Schizosaccharomyces pombe: one gene and its partner. The protein of the gene in region 1 purifies or fractionates together with the protein of each later gene. This does not show direct contact. Each region holds a gene or a part of one and is shown in the gene's direction. Other genes may lie near its edges.

The links.
Region 2: the proteins of ptr2 (region 1) and zrt1 purify together in Schizosaccharomyces pombe (co-purification; one study listed by BioGRID). This does not show direct contact.

Annotation. Positions count from the first base shown.
Region 1 is NC_003423.3:3,405,751-3,411,184, reverse strand, and holds the start of ptr2 (PTR family peptide transporter), read left to right. Parts: upstream 1-2,825; 5' UTR 2,826-3,492; coding exon 3,493-5,349; 3' UTR 5,350-5,434. UniProt on the Schizosaccharomyces pombe protein: Uptake of small peptides.
Region 2 is NC_003423.3:3,604,377-3,609,810, forward strand, and holds zrt1 (plasma membrane ZIP zinc transmembrane transporter Zrt1), read left to right. Parts: upstream 1-2,800; 5' UTR 2,801-3,513; coding exon 3,514-4,740; 3' UTR 4,741-4,954; downstream 4,955-5,434. Other genes in the region: cell wall alpha-1,3-glucan synthase Mok13, read left to right, coding at 1-311; histone deacetylase, Sirtuin family, NAD-dependent Sir2, read right to left, coding at 5,270-5,434. UniProt on the Schizosaccharomyces pombe protein: High-affinity zinc transport protein. Regulates intracellular zinc levels.

The DNA of each region.
Region 1 (5,434 bases):
ACGGACACGAGACATTTCAATGATATGATAGTAAGATAGGATGGATAGAGAAGGAAAGAAGAAGTCGGAAGAGACAGAGCAAGGGGTTAAGCAAATTTGCCCAACACAATACGCGGTCGTTGGAGTTTATCTATAGATTTAACGAATGTTCGATAAAAACAAGGGTCGGAATAAAAAATGACGAGAAGAGAAAATTAAGTGATATGACATTTTATCAACGGAAATAGGAAATACATATGGGTGATATGCAGGTACCCGAATATCAAAGAAGGAAACAGTAACCTATGTTTGAAAGAAGACAATTCGTAAATGAAACCCTTCCTTACTTATCATTAAACTAGCGATACTTGTTGGACTTCATAATGCGCGTCTCTATAGACGTTTGTTACTTTAAAAAATCTATTAGCAGAAGGATCAATTGATAAGACGAGAACGACTTGATGTTAAGTAGGCGCAAAGAAAACAAGCATTATGGACGGCTCAATGAAATAAATAATTAACATGCAAAAAATATAGAAAAATGCAATGTTCAGTTTATAGCACTTAGTAACAAGTGTTGCGAATTTTTTCCAACTAGTAGGTAAACATGCATTGTTAACTCTATGAAAACACTGGAAACATTGGTTCCGTGAAACTTTCGACGGAATCAAAGGGGGAAAAGGTTTTTAACGTGAAAAGTATAGTTCAAATTACATGACGAAGAGGTGTGGTAGATAAGTTTTAGAGAGCGAAAAAAAAAAAAAAAAACCAAAAAACCAAAAAGAGGTCAAATTTTTTTTTTCCTTTTCTCTCCTCTCTCCTTTTCAATTGATAAGGAATGGGCATAGAAACAAAAAGCAATTTGTTTAAAAGTTCATAAATTCAAAGGAGAAACATCTGCCAAAGTAGTATCAACTTGTGCACCGACGACGAGATAGAAAAGTCAAGTCAGAATCAGCAATGCTAGAAGCATAGATATCGATGTGACATTGCATACTCCTTCGTTATTGGGGATTTATTTACTAATGCTATCAAACTCAAGTTTCTTCAAAGTTATCATGAACTTACTATAAGAAATCTGATTCTGTGATAGAAGATATCGTTTGGAATTTAGGGTATACTATCTGTTGCTAATTTGCATACTTTTTGAAGTCTTGTGCCTCGCCTTACACAACCATCTCGTTTGCTTGACGGAGGGTAGGGTATCGCTGCATAACGAGTTGGACCATTTCTTACTAGGCTTTCCCGATACTTTCAGCAATCTTGCAGCATTATGGTTTCATTTGGCAAAATGAGGGAAAATGGGTGCGAAAAATTGCTCATACACCAACAAGTCCGTTTTGGAGTGTGATATGTTCATTTCCGTGACAGTTATACCCACTACTATTAATGCTATCACTATTCTTCCTTTCTTACTTTACTTTACCTTACCTACTTGTTGTCGTCCCTCATCATCTTTGCGACAATTCATGTGGGGGTAGGCGAACTAGTCGCTTTTACTATCTCTGCCACCCACGATGTTTACCGGGTTCGAGGTTCTTAAAGAGAAGACCTTGTTTCCTCGTGCACACACCGTGCTACAGCAGACCACTCACCATTCGCATACATAGTTTTACCTTGGTGAATCGCCAGCGCTAATCGCGGAATACCCGGGGAAGGAAACAAGAGAGAAGAGACACGCGAACGTGGTGTAAAGGCCGATGTCGAGAAGAAGGAATGAATTCAACGGTTAAATAAATAAATAAAAACAACAATGTAACACTCATCAAACGATTACATAAATTTAATAAATATGCAAAGTATTAAGAATCTAACAAATATGTAATTATTATTAATGAGCAAACTACAAGTAAGCAATGAATACAACTCAACCCTCAAACCTCTAAAATTATTGAAAAACTTCGTTCACCTGTATGTCGTCGTGAGAGAATAAGAAACGTAGAGGATGTGTTTGTAAATAACAATATGTATGACAATACATAGACAGTCATCTCTTTTCTACCTTTTCCCTCATCCTCATCCATACTCATATAGTAACACTTATACCTTTTACTCTCACTTTCACATATACTAACTATATTGTCTCACATTCTTTCTATACCTCTCCTCACTCTCATTCTCACTCCTGTAGTGAAACTTCTATTTTTGGCACTATAACGTGCTACTCGTTTTTTCCATATGCTCTGCACGTTGTGCTCTTGACCATTTAATTCCATGCACCCCACTTGGTACCCAATTTCATCCCCACTTTTTCGGTCAAGTACGACTTTCCACTTCAACCATGCGATGTGGTGGCACAAAAGTCCTAAATGGAGGTACACGAGTTTTTTCTATCGTTAAGCAAAAACACGCAACTGAACAAGTGCGCAATCCTTCCGCATGATAGTGGAGTAGATGAAAAAAACGGCATCACACGAAGAAATCCAAGCTTATCTATTTCCAGCGGATTTACCAATTTTCACCCCTTTTTCCAACAGGTCACACGTTGTGCGATATGGTTACTCCTCGTGCATTTTTAATCAAATAGATATTCCGCACTAACGTTTTTGTCCGAAATAACATTTGATTTATCCAATCAACCATCAAACCCACCTTTCACGCATTGACCTTAATTATTAAAAATGTGCAGTCTAGACCGGTCCTCCCTCTTTTTTGATTTATCTGTAGGGAAGATAATAAACTTTTTCATACCACGTTTCCTACATTTACGATTTGTCTATCGCCTATCGTGCTTTGCTCACCGTCATTGATAAAGGCGTGCATGAACACGTGGTGACTGCTAAATCAGTGTGGACAAATTTCATTTTCAGCAGTATTTATACTTGAAAATTATCCCCTCAAAAGACATCCTTCGTCGTGCCGTCTAGTCTGTGTTTTAGAAGTAAGAGAAATTCAAAAACCTTGAGTGGAAACTCCTCATCGTTCGTATAATTAATCGTTTGACCTCTTTTGTTTGGAGTTGTGACTTTCTCCACACTTTCACATACATACACTTTTAATTTCCAAGTATTTATTTAATACATTAAGGAAAAATTTTTTCATTCTAAAAATTTTTCTTTTTTTATTATTATTGTCATAAATACTTATTTGTTGTTGTGTATATTTAATCTTGTTTTAAATACCCTTTCTCACTCTCACTCACTTTCATATTTCTTACTCTTAGTTGAGTTAGTCGGCCTTCGATACACATATAAAAGTGTTTATTTTAACTTTTTTGTGAATTCACTTGTCAATTTTGTGTAATTAGTTTGACTAATTATTATTATTATTATTTTTGATCTATTCTTTTTTTTATCTTTTGTACTACAATTGTTTTTTAATCTTTCGCTTGTTTACGTTATTTTTCTCTTCCTCTTTTTTTTTTTTTAATATTCGCCTCTTTTGTTTTCTCGTTTCATTGTAATTATTTTATACCCAAAAATTGTTCTTGAAACTTCTGTTCATTCTCTTTTTTATTATTATTTTTGATTTTCATACGATCGATTTCCTACATTCAATTTACCTGTGTTTACAATGAGTAGCATTGAAGAACAAATTACGAAATCGGACTCCGATTTCATCATTTCAGAAGATCAATCCTACTTAAGCAAGGAGAAAAAGGCTGATGGTTCTGCCACCATCAACACCGCTGACGAACAATCCTCCACCGATGAACTCCAAAAATCCATGTCCACCGGCGTCCTCGTCAATGGTGACTTATACCCTTCTCCTACCGAAGAAGAATTAGCCACCCTTCCTCGTGTTTGCGGTACTATTCCTTGGAAAGCCTTTATTATCATTATTGTCGAGCTTTGCGAACGTTTCGCTTACTATGGTCTCACTGTTCCCTTTCAAAATTATATGCAATTCGGTCCTAAGGATGCTACTCCAGGTGCCCTTAATTTAGGCGAAAGCGGTGCTGACGGTCTTTCTAATTTCTTCACATTTTGGTGTTATGTCACCCCGGTTGGCGCTGCACTTATTGCTGATCAATTCCTTGGTAGGTACAATACCATTGTTTGCTCTGCTGTCATTTACTTTATTGGTATCTTGATTCTTACATGTACTGCTATTCCTTCTGTCATTGATGCCGGAAAAAGTATGGGTGGGTTTGTCGTCTCTTTGATCATCATTGGTCTTGGAACCGGTGGTATCAAATCCAATGTTTCCCCCTTGATGGCTGAACAGCTTCCAAAAATTCCTCCTTATGTAAAGACCAAGAAAAATGGTAGCAAGGTCATTGTTGACCCCGTCGTCACCACCTCTCGTGCCTATATGATTTTCTACTGGTCAATTAACGTCGGTTCTCTCTCCGTATTAGCCACCACTAGTTTGGAAAGTACTAAAGGTTTTGTTTACGCATACTTGCTTCCCTTGTGCGTCTTTGTTATCCCCTTAATTATTTTGGCTGTTAGTAAGCGCTTTTACAAGCACACTCCTCCCTCCGGTTCCATCTTTGTTCGTGTTGGTCAAGTGTTCTTCCTTGCTGCTCAAAACAAATTTAATCTCGAAAAAACTAAACCATCTTGCACTACTACTGTTGGACGCGTTACGCTCAAGGATCAGTGGGATGACTTGTTTATCGACGAATTGAAACGTGCCTTACGCGCCTGCAAAACTTTTCTCTTTTACCCTATCTATTGGGTATGCTATGGTCAAATGACCAACAACTTAATTTCTCAAGCTGGACAAATGCAAACGGGTAATGTCTCTAACGATCTTTTCCAAGCCTTCGATTCAATCGCCTTGATTATTTTCATTCCCATTTGTGACAATATCATCTATCCATTATTGCGTAAGTATAACATCCCTTTCAAACCCATCCTTCGTATTACTTTAGGGTTTATGTTTGCTACTGCTTCCATGATTTACGCTGCTGTTTTACAAGCAAAGATTTATCAAAGAGGCCCTTGCTATGCAAATTTTACTGATACATGTGTTTCCAATGACATCAGTGTTTGGATCCAAATCCCTGCTTACGTTTTGATTGCTTTCTCTGAAATTTTTGCCAGTATTACTGGTTTAGAATTTGCATTTACCAAGGCCCCTCCTTCAATGAAATCCATTATTACTGCTTTGTTCTTGTTCACCAATGCATTCGGTGCCATTCTATCTATTTGCATTTCTTCTACTGCTGTCAATCCTAAGCTTACTTGGATGTACACTGGTATTGCCGTCACTGCCTTTATTGCTGGTATTATGTTTTGGGTTTGCTTCCACCACTATGATGCTATGGAAGATGAACAAAATCAACTTGAGTTCAAGCGTAATGATGCGTTAACGAAGAAGGACGTTGAAAAGGAAGTTCATGATAGTTATAGCATGGCAGATGAGTCCCAATACAATTTGGAAAAAGCAACTGCTGAAGAGGAAATCATGAAAAGCACATAATACTTAATTTAACTTAATTCGTATTTGCGGGATGCCAATTTTTCTTTTCTTTTTTTTTTTACAAAATTTCCCAAAAAATTGGGGT
Region 2 (5,434 bases), 200 kb from region 1:
TGGGTGTCTTAGATTCGGTACAAGGTGTTGGGGTTGGAATGATTTTATTGCAGACACTTACTAGAAGGCACATTGCTACAACTCTAATTGCTGGACAAATTATCGGAACGTTGACTTCAATGTTAGCAAGGGCAACCGCACCAAATCGACTTGGTCCTGGACTCGTCTTTTTAGATTTGACATCATGGAGGTTCGAAGATGGTGCAAAAATATTCAGAAGTGCACCGTTTTGGATTTGTTTGATTTCACAAATTGCTGTTAGTGCTGGTTACTTGTTGTTTTTTCGCCGAGAAAATTTAAGTCGGCCTTAAATATGAAGAGTTTTAAATGGGTCTCTTGATATATAATAATGTTTGTTAATTATTTATTAGCCATTTACAGAAATGTAAAATTAATGAATGAATTATGATATAAAAGTTAATACTTTGGCAGAATTCAAAAGCATGGTTATAAGCAACATAAAGCTTTAAATTTAAATCAATCGAAATCTCAATTTCATATACTAATGTTATAGAATTTCTTTATTTAATTATATTCTTTTAACTAATTGTATGTGTATAGGAAACTTTGAGAGGGGTGTACAATTATTTGTGGGAAAAAATTATTAATCATTTGAAAACGGTAAACCCCATAGAAATTCCCGATGCAATCTTTTAACGGAGACAATTAGATATTGCTGCAAAGTAAGGAGAATATCTCTAGCTGTATAGTAAAATGATTCATAATAAAATAAAATAAATTTTATCGTTATATAATCCATATATAATTTTTTATGCTTTATATTGTCTTATACAAGTTTCTTAGCGCTGGGCAAATTGATCGGAGAATATAAAAAAGGGAACTACTTGATTATGGCGTTTTGATACAAACTAGATCCTTGTGCAAATTTCAAGTTCTATTAGAAAATTTTCGAATGGCATCTTGTAGGGACGCACTGTTTATAGTTTCGAATTTTAAATGTTTAAAACAATAGAAGGAGGTCAATAAATCAATAAATATTTAAATAAATAAATAATTAATAATAAAAAATATAATGAATTAATAAAGAAATATTGCATCTTAAATAAAAAAAATTATAATTGTTACGTTTTTTTTTTTGTTATATGGATATTCTTGGAGAAGCAGTGAAATTTTATTAGGATCTTCGTCGAAAACAGCGATCGATAAATCAGAACATGTCGATCCATGGAACGATAAATAATCTAGAGATGTTGGCTGACGGACAACGAGAGAAAGGTTCAGGACAAACAATGCAGATTTGGTTTATAGAAGATGATAACTAGAGAAGCTCAATATTGCTTTCGCTTCCTTCTCTCTTCTTTTTTCCCTTGTTCATATTATTATAGCTTTGCAAATCAATTTCAGCTTAGTATTTCGATCTGATAGAGCGACAATTATATAGTACCGCGAAAAACTTGCATACAAAGCTATACAAAAAATATTGAGATAAAACTGGCAGTACATACCAATGCGACTCAAAATTCTTTATCTTTTGTTTCAAAAAAAGAAAAAAATTCTGCTTTTCCAAGATTCCTACCCTGGAGTCCTTTCTCTAAAGCACTTAACAAAAAGCATATAAGTTACCGCCTCAAACAAGATTGTGATTAGACATCAGCACATACAATTTCTAGATTTACTCTATTCCCAATAATAAAACAGAGTGACATGTAAAAAAAATTCAATTTTTTAACAATTGTCTATTTGAAGTAATGTGCGACGAAGCTCCTGTGTACGAGGGTTACCTTTTCAATTTACACCAGGTTTGCGCAACTCGGCAAAATTTAAAATTCCGAAAACCATCGAATCCGAGCGCAAAATGCATTAGAGGAACTTCTTTAAAAATTTCTCATTCTCAGTGTTTCTAAGGTATGTGGTATGTGTAAATCTTTTTGTGCAAGCTCATTATGAACGTAACGCTTTTCTTTCAAGTTCTTTTTAAGTTGCTTCAAGTTGGAAAAAGAAATGATTATCGGATTTTCTGATAAGCGTTCGATCGTCATGACACTTTCCCCGTGATTTATTGCTCTAGACTTGAATCTCCTAAGTTGATTTTCATATTTGTTCCCAAAGTGGTGGGCTCATTATCAAATACTTTTTAAAATCAATATAAAATATTTTAATTATTCGTCAAAATTGAATGTCTTACTGTAGTTGACACTAAACTGTATTCAAGCAGTGTATTAAAACACTCCGTCCTCTGATAGTGCAAAAAAAAAAGATCATGGATTGTTCCATGTGGCGATCCCCTTTTGGCACCAGTTACGATACTACCATCGACTGGTCCTTTTTTTTTTTCTGAAATAATAATAAGATGGTTGTGACAGATCGACGTCAATCTGCAAATAAAATTTACCTATTTTTAGTAGATGCTGTCTACAATTTAGTCAAGTGATGTGTTGTCATGCAAAAAGGACATGCGACTTGTGTGTGTTGAGAGTATAGAATTTCAACGAATCTTAATTCATTGCTTCGTTCTATCCTTCAAATTTCTCTTTTTAATTTGAATGTTTGTAAGAATTTTCTTTCACTTGGGGTCGTTTTCTTTTTATTCAGTTTGCTATCTAGTGTGGTGGTTCGAGGTGCTTATTTACTTACCTATTTTCAAGCGTCGATCCTTAAACCTTGGTTATCCCGACTTTCAAGTGATATACGTGGTGATCTGTACAAATTTTCCTGTGCAAAATTACCATGTTACCTGTCGTTGCTATCCCTTGTACGTCGATTCGCACATCATTAGAATGACAGTCAAAAAAACAGTCCAAGGCTTTATATAAAGAAAGCAGATCCTTTCATTCCAGCCACGATCCGAGTATTTTGTTTGTATTCTGTTAGGTTTTGTTAGAGTACGTTATCAATCTTGTATTCTACGCTGCAAATCCTTTATCGATTGATTTGGCAGAAAATAAGGCAGTTTATAAGTTCAGTTTTACGATTATTTTGATTGATTTCGTTATCAAGTGAGATTGCTGATCACTCCTGCTTCAACTCTTACGTTGCTAATACTAAGTGAATACAATCAGCCAAAAAACCAAAAGGACGATCGCTTTTTTTTTTTGGTTGTAGATCTTATCACTCATTTTTTGTATTGGTTTTGTTTTTTTAAACCACTTTGGATTCCTAAGGTATTTTGCTATTGTTTTGTGGTAGAAAATATCGATTATTTGGAGATCTTTCTTTGCAACTTCAACCTATTCCCTTTTTGTCTTCCTCCTGTGCGCCTATCGCGTATTTTGCTTTTCCCTTAATTATTGTTCGTTCAATCAACTCCCCGCTTTCTCATTTGTTATTTTTTTTTTTAATTTTTTTTGGTTTTGGATTTCAGGTTTCGTTTGGTATTTCCTCGTTGCTTAATTAAACTATTATCCTCTCAGTTTATTGCTCCCTTTAACTCGTTCTGCTCAGCTCGGAGGTTGTTAAAAAATTTCTATTCCATTTTCACTCTCTTTAACGTTTTTCGTTGAAAACAAACTTTGCCCTGTTGAGTTATATCTTGTATCTTTCTCGTACATTAAAATGTCTTTAAACAATTTATCTAACTCATATAATCAATATCTTGCTCAAGAATCTCACCAAATATTGAGACATCTTTTTCTTAATAAGCAATATAGTCCATTGGTAAAAAGAGACGATGATAGCTCTGCTACTGTGACTTGTGGAGGTGATGCCAATGAATTCAACGAATATGGTCATCTGGGATATCGTATTGGTGCCATCTTTGTTATCTTGGCTACTTCATTAATTGGCATGAACTTACCTTTGGTCCTTTCTAAAATCACCAAAAACAGACCCAACGTTTATATTGAATATCTCTATCTATTCGCTCGTTATTTTGGTTCTGGTGTTATTTTGGCTACTGCTTTTATTCACTTGTTAGCCCCTGCTTGTAACAAGCTTTACGATCCTTGTCTTGACGACCTTTTCGGAGGTTACGATTGGGCTCCAGGTATTTGTCTTATTTCTTGTTGGTTTATTCTCTTGTTGGAGGTCCTTTTGAATCGCTATGTGGAATGGCGGTTCGGTATGGAAATCGGCGATCATCATGGTCCAACTCTTGGTGCCAAACAACACAGTCATAGTCACGAAGACGGTGCTCACGGTGTTCATGAACATCCAGTTTATGATATTGAAGAATGTGCCGATGGTGTTGAGCATGAATGTGTAAAGGATGACTTGGAAGAAGTAAAACTAGAACCTTATACGAATACTGATAGTACCGATTTGACTACTAAAGAAGAAGCTCGTAGTTTCTTACTAAAGCAACAACTTACTGCCTTTATAATTCTTGAATCTAGTATCATTTTGCATAGTGTTATTATCGGTCTTACAACTGCCGTCTCAGGTGAAGAATTTAAAACTTTATTTCCCGTCATTATTTTCCATCAGGCCTTTGAAGGTTGTGGTTTAGGTTCTCGTTTGGCGGGAATGGCCTGGGGCCCAAAAACTGCATGGGTACCTTGGGTGTTGGGCGTTATCTATTCGTTGGTTACGCCTATTGGTATGGCAGCTGGTTTAGGTGTTCGTGAGCATTGGGATCCTCTTGCTCATGGGTCTTATGCTGCCCAAGGTGTTTTGGATGCTATCTCATCTGGAATTTTGGTTTATGCTGGTTTAGTGGAATTACTTGCACACGATTTCTTATTTAGTCCTGAAAGAGAACGTAACTGGTATAAGCTTATTTACCTTTTGGCATGCTCGATGGCTGGTACTGGAGTTATGGCTTTGTTAGGTAAATGGGCTTGATTTGGTGGCTTTTTCGATGATCCGTGCATTTTATATTCTTCATTAAATCTGTTTTCTTCTTTTGAGTTTGAGTGTCAATATCGTTGACCAATTTCTAATTGTCCGTTTTCAGTTGTTTCTCTTTAGTATCGTACAATTAGATGCTTCATTGGTTGTATTGATATGTACCAATCAATCTTTCAATTTTAAATAATAATTGTGTCATTTTCACTGATTTACTATGCTTAAAAAAGTAGCTAATTTTGCATAGCCTATGAATGTAATTTGCTTCAATGTTCATTTACTAATTACACAGTCCTTGGTATTGTAAAATGTATTATAACTTGTTTTAATGTGTTTTCACCCAGTTTAGCAGATTTAAACATTAGGTGCGAAGAGAAAAAACAGTTTTTAACAATGGCACTTACAAAACTAAGAAGTCTCAAACGGATAATAAGTTAATGTCCAATAATCTGGCTCTCATACTCGATATATGTATATAATATATTTGCTTCTACATTCAACTTCGATAGATCGATCAGTCCTAAAATTAACAACTACCGTTTGTTGTGCTCGTGATATGATAGGTGCTGGGCTCCTCAAATTTTATATCCAAATCCGTTTCGAAAGCTCGCGTTTTGGAACCACTATGACACTCAGGTAAATCGCAAAGCGCTTGTAATTCATTCAGCCATCCAGCACGTTTACAAATCTC